4 linked regions of the Nothobranchius furzeri genome follow. The protein of the gene in region 3 interacts with the protein of the main gene of each other region in a pairwise test. Links are inferred from orthologs where the notes say so. Each region holds a gene or a part of one and is shown on either strand. Other genes may lie near its edges.

The links. The genes of interacting proteins can lie anywhere in the genome.
Region 1: the proteins of dnajb11 (region 3) and ubr1 interact in a two-hybrid assay, tested with the Homo sapiens proteins (2 studies listed by BioGRID and IntAct). The link is inferred for Nothobranchius furzeri from reciprocal best matches to the Homo sapiens genes DNAJB11 and UBR1.
Region 2: the proteins of dnajb11 (region 3) and ptn interact in a two-hybrid assay, tested with the Homo sapiens proteins (2 studies listed by BioGRID and IntAct). The link is inferred for Nothobranchius furzeri from reciprocal best matches to the Homo sapiens genes DNAJB11 and PTN.
Region 4: the proteins of dnajb11 (region 3) and bag6 interact in a two-hybrid assay, tested with the Homo sapiens proteins (2 studies listed by BioGRID and IntAct). The link is inferred for Nothobranchius furzeri from reciprocal best matches to the Homo sapiens genes DNAJB11 and BAG6.

The regions. Positions count from the first base shown.
Region 1 is NC_091758.1:31,657,469-31,661,539, forward strand, and holds the start of ubr1 (E3 ubiquitin-protein ligase UBR1), read left to right. Parts: upstream 1-1,270; 5' UTR 1,271-1,333; coding exon 1,334-1,378; intron 1,379-3,914; coding exon 3,915-4,071. Other genes in the region: atxn3 (ataxin-3), read right to left, coding at 16-103, 185-251, 333-418, 500-544, 634-798, 1,178-1,201. UniProt on the Homo sapiens protein: E3 ubiquitin-protein ligase which is a component of the N-end rule pathway. Recognizes and binds proteins bearing specific N-terminal residues that are destabilizing according to the N-end rule, leading to their ubiquitination and subsequent degradation.
Region 2 is NC_091741.1:42,191,325-42,195,443, forward strand, and holds the start of ptn (pleiotrophin), read right to left. Parts: upstream 2,802-4,119; 5' UTR 2,787-2,801; coding exon 2,755-2,786; intron 1-2,754.
Region 3 is NC_091754.1:36,589,869-36,593,838, forward strand, and holds the start of dnajb11 (dnaJ homolog subfamily B member 11), read right to left. Parts: upstream 2,804-3,970; 5' UTR 2,688-2,803; coding exon 2,614-2,687; intron 2,254-2,613; coding exon 2,097-2,253; intron 1,375-2,096; coding exon 1,277-1,374; intron 1-1,276. UniProt on the Homo sapiens protein: As a co-chaperone for HSPA5 it is required for proper folding, trafficking or degradation of proteins.
Region 4 is NC_091745.1:60,779,858-60,784,138, forward strand, and holds the start of bag6 (large proline-rich protein BAG6), read left to right. Parts: upstream 1-1,480; 5' UTR 1,481-1,606; intron 1,607-4,281. Other genes in the region: glrx3 (glutaredoxin 3), read right to left, coding at 484-1,455. UniProt on the Homo sapiens protein: ATP-independent molecular chaperone preventing the aggregation of misfolded and hydrophobic patches-containing proteins.

The DNA.
Region 1 (4,071 bases), on a different chromosome or scaffold from region 3:
AGTTTCTGATGCTACCTTCTTGTTGTAGCTGTGCAAGGAAAAGTGCTAAATATGTGTCTGATATCAACTCTGGTCCTGTCAACAGTGAATTCAGGTTAAACCACTGCAAAGGAAACAGAGAATTTTAGTGAATCAAGCTGCTATAAGACAAGTATGACTAGGTAAGTGAGTGAGTGCCACACACCTGTTGTCCAAGTTTGCGTATAGTAAACCAGTGCTCCTTATAATTGCAAATGAAGGCTTTCTCATTTCTGAAACACAAAGTAAGCATCAGCTTAAAGAAATGAGAGATCAGGATCTTCTATCATAATGTTTCCACATTAAAACCTTACACTGGGTTTATCATTAGGCTCTGGTACTCTCGACTATTAAAGAGGAGTAGCTCCAAGCCCCAGACTCGAAGAGCATTGCTAATCACCTTGAAAATATTGAAACAAGAGTGATATTACAGAAGAGGACATGGATTTTAGAAGCAATAAAAAGATAATTGTAAACTCACTTGTATTGAAAAGAACCCACTATCATCCATGTTCCCAGAGGGTTGCTTTAAACACATTTTCGAAAGAAAAACATGAATAAAATTACATTTTTGATAACATTTTGTACCAATATGTACCCTCTGTCTCATAACACCTGTAAAAAGGTCCTGTACTCCTCACTAGCCATTCCCCCCTCTGCCATCCTCATCCTCTCCTCTTCATCAAGCTGATGAGCGATAGAGGACAGGTCCACAGGAGTGAAATACTCGCCCTGCAGAAGGTTGTTGAGGCAGTGCTGGGCACAGAGGGAGCCCTCTTGCTGCAAACAAAGGATCAGGAATGTAACAAGCATCCAGCATCAGCTGGACTTCTGGAATAAAGATGCTCAACCAAAACAAACACATGTAGCAGCTAGCCCAACGAGGACCCAGCCAAGCAGAGAGCGATTAACTAACAAGAAAACAAAACCCCTACATGACGCCAGGAATAGTTATCATGTTAAAAATCTAACTTTTCACATTCTCTGACTAGCAAGTGAATTAGCGTATTAGCAGTTTGTACAACAACTCCATCACAAACGCCTCGATAGCGGCTACTTAACTGGTAAAACTATTCAGCAGATCGAGCACCGACACCGCTTAATCAAAAATCAGTAAATATAATCAGGTAAATTCGTGTTATAAAATGTTTAAACCTACTTTCTCATGAAATATGGAGTCCATATTCAGCTTTCTGTCAAACGTTCAACTCTCTAACCCCCGCCCCTCACTCGCCCTATCGAGAGGAGACGCCCCCTAGCGGGCGGGCGTGCGCGCGGCACAGTGCTGGACGCCTCTACTTACGGCAAATGGAATATGGCGGACAGTGAGAATTCCATGAACAGGCTGGAGCTGAGTCAGGTATGATGTTCTCTCAGCTAATTCCGTTGACAGCGCTTTCTGAGAGTTTGTGGCAAAACGACGGAGTTTAAAATAAAAAAAAAATCATGTGTAATAAGGTTTTACTGCATTATGGTAGAAGGTTGTTCTTGCCAGGCTAATAATAGTCGTAGCCGCCAAGGCTAACTAGCATTAGAGAGGCATCACGCTGTTTATTACGGATAAACCGACTTTATTTTTACTTCTTTTCGGGATAAATTTAGTCTTTTTCCATGAGAAATGATGTAAGTGTTTGTCTTTCCCCTCTGTGCTTACACATGACATTTAAAATGCTTAGCCTGAGGTCCTGAATGCCTTTTCCGTTTATTTACAGTGAAAGTAAACTAGTCTACTGTTACTGTGTTGTTATTCATATTTAGGTTTACCTGTTCAGATATTTTCGCCTCCCAAACACCAACATAATCACGCATTTTTAAACGTCCTAATGTAGTTACAGCCTTTGTGTTTTATTATTGAGAAATCCGTCTAATGTGGTTTTTGTTTTAGTTTCGTATAAAATAAATTATTTCAGTTTTATTTTCAAAACCGAAATATAATTTTTGTATAATTTTACTTGCTTCATCCAATCCATTGTATTATTTTCAAGGTGTTCAGTTGGTACACAAAAACATATTTGTTCTGATGATGCATATTTATGTAAGTGAACCTAAACAGACTCCTGGCGTGGATGTACCATACACTCACCAGTTTGTTTAGCAGGTAAACCAGTTCAGATGCTTATTAACACAAACAGCCAATCAGGTGGTAGCATTTAGACATGTGGACATGATGAAGTTTTGTCTGATTATCTGGGGAAGAAAGGGGATTTCAGTGGTAATGAATGTGGTTTTGTGCTGGTGCCAGGCAGGCTGGTCTGAGTGTTGCAGTTTTCATCATGATATTAGCAAAAGGTTGCATCTCAACTTCAGCTGCAACATTCATAAATGTTAGGTTAGACTTTGATGTTAACAACTTGAAAACATGGATCCATCTTAACGGTTCAGGCTGCTGGTGGTGATGTAATGGTCTGGGCCCGTACCTGATTATTGTTGGCGATAGTGTCCATACTTGTGTTTCCACACTGGACCCATGCTCTGACGGCTACATCCAGCAGGATAATACTACAAAGCTCTAATCATCTCAAAATGATGTTTTATTCAAGCCGCTACAGTCACTACATCTGAATCGAATTAATCACATTTTAGAAGAGGAGACTCACATCACATGTTTTCAGGTGACAGATCTGCATGAACTGCTTGATAATCCTATTATCTAAATATAGACCAACATCTTTGTATTAGGTTTCCAGTGACAAAAGGCAGTTTTGAAGCAAAGGTTTACTAAGGTGTAGGGATGTCCCGTTCCGATATCGATATCGGCCCAAAAACAATGTATCGGATTATATCGAACGGCATTAAAAATCTCTGATGTAAGCGGTCTGTTAAGGTTCACATTTTCGCAACCAACTGTTCATACTTAATGTTATTGGCTCTTGTTCTCCGATTGAGTAAAATCACTTGATCAAGCCTTTCATACATTGCACACTAGGAAATAAGTAAAAATATGTATGATTTGTGCTGATATCGTATCGGATTGATATCGGTATCGGTCAACACTGAAGACTGCAATATTGGTATTCAGAAGTGGAAAAAGTTGTATCGGGACATCCCTACTAAGGTGTACCTAATAAATTGGCTGGCAGATGTATATTTGTTGTACTAAATGTCACATGATGCGATTGAGCCTAGATTAAATAAAAATATCAGATTGTTGTGGAATTTAGATATAGTCGATTTACTTCTTTGTTTTTGCTACATACTTCTCTATGTAGTAAAAGGATGCGTATATAAGCGTTTCACTGCCAGAACTGGTTATCTTGTTTTCTATTGATTTTTTTATTCATCCCAGGAATTTACATGGTTTTCTCTCATTATATTAGTCCTATTAGGCCTATAATGGACTGGAAGGGTTCTCCCAGGAAGGATTATCCATCAGCGTTGGTATAGTCAATGCGCAATGTTTTATTACGTTTCTACAGATTCATCAGCTGTTCACTGGCTTTGCTCTTGGCTCCCTTTAGATGTTAGACACCAGAGTTCAGCCCAGTTGCCGCTGTCAGAGTAAAGATGCATGACTCATTCTTGCCTCATTACAAAAAGTTGCTGGAAACCAAAGTTTTTCACTTTGCTGCATTATTTTTGCACGTTTAATTAAATCAGTTAAGTTTAAAATTCACCTGAGACCTGCATAAAATAACTCAATGATGAGGATTTAAAAAATATATATAATGTAAATGAATACACATATTTTTATGTTAATTACAATTAAATTAATGTTGTTATTCTTAAAAATCGAAGGCACGTTCATTCAGTGACCAGATTAACAAAAACTCTCCAGTCTAAATAATTCAGATTATTTAACTGAACAGTAAGATGTTTTATTGCAGGTGTTTTTTGTTTTTTTTTTGCCAGTGGTGGTCAGATCCCACATCGTTTCCTCCTCTGTTGTCTTCTCTAAGGGATGGCTGGAAGCTGCAGACTGCAGAGCCGAACTGCTCCGCCACCTGAAGGAGCAGGTACCGCAGATCTTCTGTCTGAAGAAGGAGCCCTGCCTCCAGGAGGAAGAGGAGCTCGCCCAGAGCCGCCTCCTTTACCCTTTCGAGTGTTTCCTGTTCG
Region 2 (4,119 bases), on a different chromosome or scaffold from region 3:
AATCCAGGCACAAAAAAACTGTAGCAGACCCTTGGCTCACTGAGGACACTTGTGCCCTAAGACGCCAATGTAGGGTCTGCGAACGCCGGTGGCGGAAGGACAAGCTGCAAATCTCCTACCAATTATTCAAGGATTCTTTGACCTGCTATCAGAAAGCTGTCCGCACAGCTAGAAACAGATATTTTGCAAATATAATCACTAGGAATAAAAACGACCAGAAGAAACTATACAGTGTCCTCACCTCTGTACCATTCCTTAGAGAATCTCCCAACTCTTCTCCCTCTACAGGGGCTCTTTGCAATGAGATTCAAAACTTTTTCCTGCATAAAATTCAGGAAATTAGAACCAGTTTCTCTTACTCAGGCTGGGTTACCTGTGTGGAACCTCACTGTCCACCCTAATTCTCTTGCTTTGCTCATGTGACACCCTCTTCCCTGGTTGATCTAATCTTGGCTATGAAGCCCTCAGGCTCTCCAGAGGATAGCCTTCCTCCAAGACTGCTGCGCGATGTCCTTCCAGCAGTGGCCCCTGCTGTTCTGGATATTGTAAATTCCAGCTTCTCCTCTGGTGTGTTTCCAGCTGCTTTTAAAAATGCAGTTGTTCAGCCGCTATTGAAGAAACCAGGCCTTGACCAGTCTGACTGTGCCAATTATCGCCCAATCTCAAAACTTCCATTCATCTCAAAAGTAGTTGAGAAACTGGCTCTCACGCAGCTTTGTTCTCACCTAGATGACAATGGGCTTCTTGACCCATTCCAATCAGGTTTTAGACGTAATTAAAGCACAGAATCTGCACACATTAGGGCATTCAATGACAGCCTGATTCTAACTGACTCTGGCTCCCATGTGCTGTTACTCTTACTCCACCTGACTCCACCTGACTGCAGCATTCAGCACTGTAGACCTCACCATCCTACTTCACTGACTTGAATTTTGGGTGGGTGTGACCAGTACTGCCCTCAAATGGTTTAAGTCGTACCTTAATGTTCGGTGTTTTAGTGTTCATGTTGGAGACTGCCCTTCTCCCAATGTCCCACTTCCATGGGGAGTACCACAGGGCTCCATCCTGGGTCCTGTCCTCTTTTCAATTTACATACTACCACTTGGTAAGATTTTAGCAAGTCTCTGGGTTAACTACCACTTTTATGCAGATGATTGCCAGATCTACCTTCAAATCAACCAACAGCACTCATTTTCTATAATGTCAGAATGCCTCTCGCAGGTCAGATCCTGGCTTTCTCAAAACTGCCTACGGTTAAATGACATCAAATCAGATGCCATACTTTTTAGCCCCACTAACATGAATGGTGCTTTTGATGTCTCAACTCTCCCACTCAATCTCAAATCATGTGCCGCTAGCCTAGGTGTGTGCCTTCTCTTATGCAGCCCCAAAACTCTGGAACTCTTTGCCCCTCCGTGTGTGTCTGGCTCCCTCTGTTCGCAGTTTCAAGTCGGCCCCGAAAACGCACTTCTTTAGCATTGCCTTTGCTCCTTGACACTTTTCATGACAATCTAGCACCGGATTTGAGTTTTTAATTCCATTTTTATGATTTAGTTGCTCACTTTTGGCACCTCGTACCATCTGGTATTTTATTTTGTTTTATTTGTGCCATTTGAAATGTTTTTATTATTCGTTGCATTATTTTATTTTTATAGTGCTGTTAACTGTTCTCCTATTTTATTGTTTTTAGCAGGAATTTTTATCTCTGACTATTTATGCTTTGTTCTTATGTATTTTCCCAGTTCGCATTGTGCTTCTAGTTCAAGCATTTGGCTTTTTTATGTACAGCACTTTGGTTAGCTGCCATGCTATTTTGAAATGGTGCTTTATAAATAAATATGGTATGGTATGGTATGGTCATTGACTGGTTCACACACCCCCTCTGCTGTCTATTAGCATGGATATGCTAGCTTTGCCTGGACGGGATGGTGTTAGCATCGGAGAGACTAGCCATTAGCGTGCCTAGGCTGGCCACTAGCTGACTAGTGACTCTCTGAGACATGCTGATGGCTAGCCTCTCTGATGCTAATGCCAGCCTATCCAGGCAAAGCTAGCCTATCCATGCTTAAGGTCCGTCAAGGGGATAGGGAATCCAGCTAGTGGCCAGCCTAGGCACGCTAAAGGAGTGTTTGAACCAGTCAATGACCAGCCGAGGGCTGCTAGTCCGTAGCGTATCTAGTAATAACGCCAGTAAAGGTGCTATTTCTCAGTAAGCAGCGCCAGCCTCTCAGTTACCGGTGCCAGCTTATCATTAATCAGGTCGGTAGTTTGCTTCGAAATTTATATAGCCTCCTGCTGCTGGGCAGTAGTCTTAATTTTGGCCCCCATACCGCGCCATAGTTTTGTCTCTTAGATTAAAGTGTCAAAACGGGGAGATTCTTGCACAGGATGTGCTTATGCTTCACTTTATCAGTTTTATTTTTTAAAGAAAACAATATGTCATCTCTGAAAGACAGGCATCACAAATATTTAGGTGTTTTAAATGATTTATGCTGTTTCAGCACAAAAGGAAATGGGAATTTAGTAGCTGTAGCTGCAGTGAAGGTGTAAATACATCATCTTATATCAGCAGTTTTTACAATATTACAAAAAAGCTATTTGGAGCAGGTCTTGCAATAAAGTTGCCATGAAAATACTTTTTGGGTAAAGCACTGTTGGCTATCTTTGTTTGTTATCAGAACATGTAAAAAAAGACTATAAATAATACATAAATGCATATGAAAGGGAATACTTGAACACAAAGTGAAGCATTACCTTACATTAAATGAGAGCAAAACGGAAGTCATAATCTTAGTCCTGGCAGAAGAAATGGCTCAGGTGCTGATTTTGACCTTGGCCCACTGACCCCCTATGAAAAGAAAATAGCCAGTAATTTGGGGATAAAAATTGACTCCTCACTTAATCTTGACATTCACATAAATGCGGTGGTGAGGTACTGTTTTATTTTTTTTTATCTGAAATGACTATCCAGGATCAGGCCTCTGCTGTCCAGAGCTCATCTGGAGTCTGTGTTGCATGCTTTCGTCCTGTCCCGTCTGGACTACCGTAACGCTCTGTATGCTGGTCTGGCCCAGTGCATGGTTGCACGGCTCCAATTTGTACAGAACTCAGTGGCTAGGTTCCTGACAGGTACTAGATGCCGAGATCACATTACTCCAGTGCTGGTTACTCTAAACTGGCTCCCGGTGGAATATCGAGCTAAATTTAATATCTTAACTCTTGCTTATAAGGCTCTCCAGAGCAGTGCCCCCTCTTACATTACTGCACTTTTGCACAAGTATGCTCCATCTCGGTCTCTTTGCTCAGCCGAGCAGGGACGTCTGGTGGTCCCCCAGTCGAAATATCGATCGAGGGGTTATCGTGTATTTTCTGTTTTGGCTCCAACTCTGTGGAATGAATTGCCATTGAGCATCAGGCAGGCACCGTCCCTTCAAGTCTTTAAGTCTTGTCTAAAGACTCATTTTTATTTGATTGCTTTTCAGCGCTAGGGTTCATTGAAATGCCCTGACATTATGGTTTTTAATACTTCCTCTTTTTGATCAGGATGATTGATCTTATTTTGTCCACCATTTGTTTTTAATTGATTAATCTTATTCCATTATCTCTCTGTATTTGTGATATTGCTTGCTTGTTATTTTATGATTTTATGTTTTTATCTTGCTTTTATGCCCAGGTACTGGGAATGTTTTTATGATGATGCTGTTCAGCACATTTGGCTTCTGATAAAGTTGCAGAAGGTGCTCTACAAATAAAATCGATTGATTGATTGATTGATTAGAATTAGATTAATATCATTTTGCTATTATAATTTTACCTCTGTTGTTTTAACTTGGGAAAAATTACAAATGTTGTGTGTTCTTTTCTCTGTGGGGAAGTGAAAGAGTTAATAAGATCAAATTCAGACACAAAAAGTGCCTTTAATGGCAGATTTCCTGACATGCTAAATGCTCTGACATCTTTCTGTAGCGTTATGTGCAAATATGAAACCTTTACATGATGCAAAGGCTTAGATTTGCATTGATTTTTAAACCAAAAGGGAACAAATTATATTACCGTGATAATAATAGGCTTTATGAACATCTTTTTGAGTTTGCTGAACTTATAATTAAACATTTCAAG
Region 3 (3,970 bases):
TAATATGGAAATTGTTAAAACAGAATCACTTGCTGAGTGATTCAGTTAGTTTTTGAGCCGAACTCCGGACTGGCCACCGGAGGAAAACTCCCTAACCACCGCATCTCTTGACAAGCTGTCAAACCTGTTGCACGCTGCAGCGACACAGAACCTTGCTCCTTCGGAACAAAGCTGACACAGCCAAGACTCCTTCAGAGTCCATCGTTCCATAGACGCAAACAACTACCTGTTGTGATCAGGGAGACGACTCTGGACCGACCTGGTCGTACTGCGGTTTTTTTCTACGAACTTCGTAATCTTTTCTTGTTCGGGTGTTTGGCTTTGAACGCAGGGACCTCCAGCTGCGCTACCTTTGGCGGTCACGGTTCTGAACTTATCCAGTCGAATATGCTTGAGGTACCGATGTCTCCCATCTGGAGCTGCTTCATCGGATTGCTACCTGCATGGATGGGCGGCCTATACTCCCATCAGGTTTGGTCTGAAGTATGCCTTCAACATTTTTACTAAAATTCTAATAATTTAATGAGAAATGAGAGAAAGGGTTAGGTGAAGTCACTAAGGGAAGGCCGATGCACATCAGGTGTCTTTGATCAAGAGTTAAAAAGACAACTTCCCTTCTGAACATGGGTGTTGTGGGTGCCCTCCTATGTGTCCTCTGATCCTGAGTGGTTTTAAAACCAGGCAGTGCCAGGATTTTCTAAAGAACACCTGGTTTTGGGGATTAGCTTGCTTTCTGGCACAGCGCCCTGATCTGTATGTCCCAGATGACAGAGAATCCCCCAAAACAAAAGCATCTTGTCCAGTTTCCAGGTAAAATGTAAGCTTTAGAACATGCTGGGCTTGTCTTTCAGGAGTGCTGGGTTTCCTACATGAACCCTCAGGTGTTGGAAATGTATCTGAAGATATGTTTTCAATGAAGATCTACTTCTAGAGTTCTCTCAATACAGACACAAGTCACTGTGACCATTAATCTAAATATTATAAATAATGCTTGTTAGTATTTGTCTGCCTTTTCAGGTCTGTGTTGAGAGGGTAGCAGCTCCAGGATGTCTGTCCTCCAACACCGTAGCCAGTGGGACCCCAAGGTGTTCCCTGGGCAGCCTGGCGATGTGATCTCTCCAGGTAGTTCTGGGTTTACGCAGATTATCGTTTTATTTGTACAGAAAATAATCTTCATTTTAAACAGTTTGCTGCTTGTAAGTTACCAAGGTCAGTTCTTGTATCTTTATTGTTCTACCAAACAAGATAACAACAAGACACCCAAACCAACACTAACCTGGAGAAGATGTCATTGTGAGAGCTATGGTGGCCTTCCTTGAGTCCGTCTTCTCCATACATATCATACTGTTTCCTCTTTTCTTCATCTGAGAGGACCTACACACACACACACACACACACACACACACACACACACACACACACACACACACACACACACACACACACACACACACACACACACACACACACACACACTTTCTTCATACAACGTGTGGGGCATTTATTGGTAATCTTTCAAAGTTCCCTAGTGTTCAGTCACCACTGTCACACTTAGAGTTTAAAACATTTTGTGTATTAAATTAAACAATTTAAGAAAAAACTGAAAAATGGTCACCGTTATTAAGATGACAGATGAAATAATTAGGACAAACCCGTTATAGATTCATTTCCCAGGCTGCAAAGATATTACTGAATTGGGATTTTTACACTCATAAATCAGAACACGTCTGAAAGCTAAAAAAGGTGAAAACAGTCAATTTGGAAATAAAACCTTGCGCCGGAAACACCTGCAAAACCCTTTCAGAACGCCACCCCCACTTTTCCACGTATGCCTTTCCGCCATGCTCCAGCCAATCAGAAGCAGCCACACGGTCCAGTCGACCAATCACCGAGCTCGTAGCGTTTCCAACAACAACCAAGTAGCAAAGCTTACAAAAGTCTCACAATGGAGCCCACCGGCACTTCTGGGGATCCAGTGTAAGATCTCCAATATCCCTGTTATTGTGTGACTATGACATGTTTACAGCCGAGACGGGCTCGCTGCGCCCCTCTTGTCATGTCACTGACATCAGACATTACAACCGACTCTGGCCCACCTCATAAGCTGCTCCTAAATCCGCAAATTTGTCCTGAGCTTTGGGGTCGTCCTGGTTCCTGTCGGGGTGCAGCTGCAGAGCCAGCTTCCTGTAGGCCTTCTTAATGTCTCTTATTGATGCCGTCTTGCTCACCCCCAAAATCTTATAGAAATCTCGACTAGATCAGATGGAGAGAAAAAAAAACATAGCAGCATGTTCAGTATCACAGACATGTAGACATTATAAACAAAGCTGCTAGTTTAAGAGTTTGTCCCGACTGACAGCAGCTAGCTACACACCGGGAGAAGCCGGTTCGGTCTCACTCCTGTTAGCCTACAGCTAACTAATCAAACTAGCTTAAAAGAGGCCAGTTAGAGTCATACGGGTTGGTAATGGCGAATATATCGCTTTGATGGTAAACGACTAAATGCCGCTTAAGTAGTTAGTTGAGAGCGTCAGTCAGCTCCACACATGGAGGACGGTTAGACCAATCACAGAGGAACATGTGTACCAGCTGCTCATCGCAGCTCTCACTTACCCGGCGAGCACCGCCGTGGCGACATAAAGAAGCAAGCAGCACACGTTACACAGGTTCATGCCCTTTTTAGCCATATATCCGGAGGTTAGTGAAGGACCAGATAGAGAAGACGCAACCCGGCTTTCGTAGAAACCCACTGCCAGTCACTAACCCTCTTCTTCCTGTCAGAGAGAGCCCTCCTACGGCGAGAGGGCGGGCCTCCTCTCCGGCAACTCCGCCCCGCCTTAAAGGCGCACCGCCCGCCCGGTGTCGGTCCAGGATCAATAATGCCTGGCCATCAATAAAGTTATTCTCTAAATCATCCGGACTTTCACTCAACCTACATAAATGTGAACTGCTACCAGTTAAAAATTGTTCTGCAACTTCAATCCATGGAATACCTGTAAAAAAAACTCTGTAAGATACCTTGGAATTCAAATAATAAAAAATGAGCAATCCAGATGCTCCAAGAACTTTACTCCTATTATAGACAAAACCCAAAAGATCTTTAATTGTTGGCTACAGCGAGACCTATCAAAAGGAAGAGTTCTGATTTCAAAAGCTGTGGGTATCTCCCGTCTAACCTATGCTGCACAGTCACTACACGTTGATAATACAACTTGTAAATCAATTAGCAAATTGTTATACAATTTCTTATGGAAAAATAAAACCCACTACTTACGTAAATCAGTAGCTTTAAATCCATATGATAAAGGAGGTTTAAGCTTTATTGATTTCGGTGCTCTTAACGACACCTTTAAAATAAACTGGATTTAAAAGTATTCAAAAAATCCCACTTCTATCTGGAATTTTATCTCACATCATGTGTTTTCTAATTCAGGTGGTCTTAACTTCCTACTGCTCTGCAGTTACAGTATTCCAAAAATACCACTAAAACTTTCTCACTTCCATCAACAAATTCTTTTGGCGTGGGCACTGATTTACAAACACAACTCCTCCCCGCAAAACTGTTTTATTTGGAATAACTGCAATATTATTTATAAAAATAAAACAATTTTTTAAATAACTGGTTTAATAATGGAACCATCTTGGTTAGCCAGTTATTTGATGAAAAGGGGCTCTTATACAATTACTCTGAATTCCTTAGGAAATACAATATACCAATAACGCCCAGAGAATTCTCAATAGTGTTTGATGCCATCCCATCCGGTCTGTCCATGTTGTTCAGATGCTCCCACAGCGCTCCACTATCAGTCAGTCGCCCGGATGTGTTACATTCTTCTCTTGGCAGTGTTTGTTTTTCCTCTCGTTGGTGAATAACAAAATAAGAACTCTCTTTCAGGATACAATGACTTCTGTTCCATCGACCATATCTTATTGGGCTAATTTTGTAACAGATATTGAATGGAAAAAAGTT
Region 4 (4,281 bases), on a different chromosome or scaffold from region 3:
TTTATCTTCAACATGTAGCTTCTCCTCATGAAAAATTCTTAGCCGATCTATGTTCTAAGTTTGTTTTATTTCTCAAGGAAACTGAAAAGACGGAACTTTCTTCTACATTTAATTTGTTAAATGATTGAGAAAAGCAAAAGGAAGCATCTTGATGTTTTTTTTTATTTACTCATGTTTTCGTGGAACAGGTGCCATAACAGAGGAAACACTTTTAACCCAAACATATCTGAAGAATGAGGATAAGAAAACAGAAGAGGAAAATCTGACCTAGAGTCAGCGGTTCCCAGTTTTATTTAATCAACAAATTGTTCCTGACACGTGACTTTCATGAATGAGCTAAACTACAACAATCAAAATAAAAACCAAGAGTGATTTTTATTCTCTGCAGCTCCATGTTCTAATCTGATAGTGATGTTTTGTTTGTTTGTGTCCCTTCCTGACCCCTCTTTAGATAAGATGCTGCCTGTTCCTGTCTGGATCCATCTACGACTCCCCCTTCAGCACTGCTGCCAGCTCCCCGCTCTCCTTCAGCTCCTTGACTATGTCCAAGCCTCCGATCAGCTCCCCTTTCACATACAGCTGGGGATAAGTGGGCCAGTTGGAGTAAGTCTTGAGCCCCTGACGGACCTCTTCATCCTGCAGGATATCAAAGGTGTCATAGTCCACCCCAGAGGCGTTTAAAATCTCCAGGATCTGCCTGCTGAAGCCGCACTTTGCAGCCTCCTTGTTGCCCTTCATGAACAGCATTACTGGACTCTGGTTGATGATGGTCTTCAGACGGTGATCCAAGTTCACGGCCTTGGGGCAGGCGTTCTCCAGCTCCCCTGACTCCGCCAGCTCCTTCACGATGTCCAGTCCCCCCACTAGCTCCCCGTTCACGTACAGCTGCGGGTATGTGGGCCAGTTGGAGTAGGTCTTCAGGCCCTGCCGGACCTCTTCATCGGACAGGATGTCGAAACTGCTGAACTGGATGCTGTGCTCCTTCAGCAGCGCCACTATCTGCCGGCTGAAGCCGCAGCGGGGCTCCTGTGGGGCGCCCTTCATGAACAGCATGCAGGGGGCCGCGTTAATCAGCTTCTTTAGCCGCTGGTTCAGGTCCTCTCCTCCCGATGACTCATTCGGGCTCCCGGCCACCGCCAACCTTTGAACCATCTTGGTCAACTCCGCCGCATGCGCCCCGTCCAGTCGGTCCACTTTCTCTCCCGCCTTAAAGAAAACGACCGTTGGCACCGAGGAGATTTCATACTTCTCCGAAACCTCCGGGAGCGTCTCCGCTTCTAGCTTCACGAACGTGGTGTGCGCGTGCTCCTTGGCCAGCACGGTCATCACCTCGTTCATCTGGCCGCACTGAGGAGCCCATGGAGCGTAGAAGTGGACCACGGTCAGTCGTTTTCCAGCTTTAGAGAGGATATCCTCAAACTGTTGTTGACTTGTCGCTTCCACGAGATTCGCCATCTTTTCTTCTCCTTGAGCTTTTTCCGCTGCCGATCTGACGTCACTTCCGTGTAGCCTAGTAGCACGAACCGGAGGTAAGAACTACCGGAAAGTTTTCTGTTACCGGGAGATAAAAACCAGCTGCGCGTCCCGGATAAGTTGCAACGACAAAGTAAGCATTAAATGAAACATCGTTTTGTAAATCCAACTTTCCAAATGTTTTTCTTTTCTTGTTACGCTCAGTTGCTTTAGCACGAGCTTAGCCATTTGACCAGTTAGCCGTATATATGCCGATGGTTGAAACTCAGATATTTCCAGGTTTATTGGCTCTTAGTAGTAACTCACTACTGCTAAACGTTAGACGTGTTGTTTGTTTAGTCGGGATTAAAATGCAAGAGGAATTTAGTGCAAGAGCTACGTTGTTCTGGTGTCTAGTTGTCGGGATGTAGCTTCGGTTGCTAAGGGGCTACCGTTAGCCTTTTAGGTTGTTGGTAAACATCTGTACATGACTTAAAATATTAATTGAACAGACTGTAAAACAAATTTCTGTATTCACATGTGAATTTTTCTAACTTTATGCTCAGCTTGTAATATTTTAGTGACGCAACAAAAACTCTCCGTAAAATTTTTAAAATGGGGTGTTTTTTAGCCTAGAAATCCAGACCAACCGTAGCAGTAGGGAGAAGTCTCATCCCTTTCCGGTCAGCTCATGGGTTCCCGGAAAAACGAAAAAATGAATGCAACTCAATGCGGCTAAAAGAGCTATTTTCTAATCCGCTTTGCCTTAGGCCCAGTGTCACACATATGTTGCACTGCAATTTAAACGAAAACTAATAATGGGTGTTTGGACCATGCAAGTGACATACTTTGAGATTTATCAGCTTGTAAAAGTTTGTAATTAGCATAACTACAAATTAGACATCAGCACGTCACATACAGTATATGACGTTACCACAGAATCTCTTCTCATCTAGAATAGCTGCTATTTACAAAATGGCCAGATTTATGGTGTTTTTTTTTCCTCCCGAAGGAAGGATTTTAAGTTGGCTAAACTTACAGCCATTTCTGTTTTTCTCCGTGGCTGGTTTGATGACGTCACTTTCGTGAAGCGCATTGTAAATGATAAATGACCCGCACTTGTATAGCACCTCTCAGAGTATGGACTCCAAAGCGCTTTACACTACAGTGTATCATTCATCCATTCACACACATTCACACAATGATGGTGATGAGCTACAATGTAGCCACAGCTGCCCTGGGGGGGGGGGGGGGGTTTGCACTGACAGAGGCGAGGCTGCCAAGCACAGGCGTCACCGGTCCTTCTGACCACCACCAGCAGGCAAGGTGGGTTAAGTGTCTTGCCCAAGGAATTCTCTGTTGGAGCCGGGATCGAACCTGCAACCTTCCGATTACTGGACAACCCACTCAACCTGTGGAGCTACTGCTGCCCCAATACTGTAGTCCTTATTTTCACACAAAACCTAAGTTTTTTATTTAAAGTTTATTATATTTCTTAGCTCATTTGAACAGTACGACTGGTAGAACATTGCTTGCATTTTGCAAAGAAATCACATTAAATATTTAAAAACATATATTCTTAATGAAATAAAAGTATGTAAATGTCAGAGGTCACCACCAAACCCACTGTAGAATAGATGCAAATCTGCAGCATGCAAGGACCATGTTTGAGGGGGTGGGGTGATTTTAGTTGTCACCTTTTTCTCAGCTTCTGAGTTTGCAGGTATGAGAAAATAGATGCAACTAATACAATTATTTTTTGTTCTTCTATACCAGCTATTTGCTTGTGTTTTTGTACCATGTGGCTTTACGTACCATTGCTACAGCTTTGCTATCCCAGATGTGGCATAACCTGCCAGTTGATTAAGTGAAAAACAAAGCAATGCAGTATTTCAAAACAATGAGTGTTTAACAGTTGATTAGTTCATTGCGATAATTTTTATATTTAGAAGGTCTTAAAAAGTCTTAAATTTAATTTTGAGATCCCTGCAAGATCAACTGTCACATCTTAGGAACAATTGACCCTGTTCCAGTTCCTACATTACCACCCACCCTGAGCTCCCTCAATACTGTTTCATACTCCGAGCTGAGTAAGCCAGTTGCGAGGCAGAAGCCATCTGGCTCTCCACTTGATGTTCTACCGCCTCGTCTCTGGAAGGCTGCCTTTCCGTGCCTTGGCCCTTCACTTGGTCAGATTATCAATGGGAGCCTCAGCACAGGTGTGGTCCCAGCTGCTTTGAAAGCAGCAGTTATTCGGCCGACCCTGAAGAAACCTGGTGCTGATGTCTCTGTGATAGAAAATTACAGGCCTATCTCTACCCTGCCCTTTACATCTAAACTGCTTGAGAAAGTCGTTTATCAGCAGCTGGTCTCACATTTAGCTGACTCTGATCTGTTTGAGGTTTTCCAATCAGGGTTCAGGTCTGGCCATAGCACAGAGTCTGCTCTACTGAGGGTCCTAAATGACATCTATCTATCACTAGATCAGGGAACATCTGTGCTGCTTCTGTTATTAGACCTGACAGCAGCCTTCGACACAGTTGACCACGCGATTCTACTCGATCGCTTGGAACGATGGGTTGGGATCAAAGGGTCAGCTCTGGACTGGTTTAGATCGTATCTCCAAAACAGGACATTCTGTGTTAAACTGGGTGATGTTTTTTCTTCTTGGGAGGGGCTCCGGTGGGGGGTCCCGCAGGGGTCGATCCTTGGTCCACTTTTGTTTGCCATTTATCTGCTACCTCTGGGGTCAATCTTTCGTAAACATGGCCTATCATTCCATCTGTATGCTGACGATTGCCAGATTTACTCTCCATTGTGTCAGGAGAA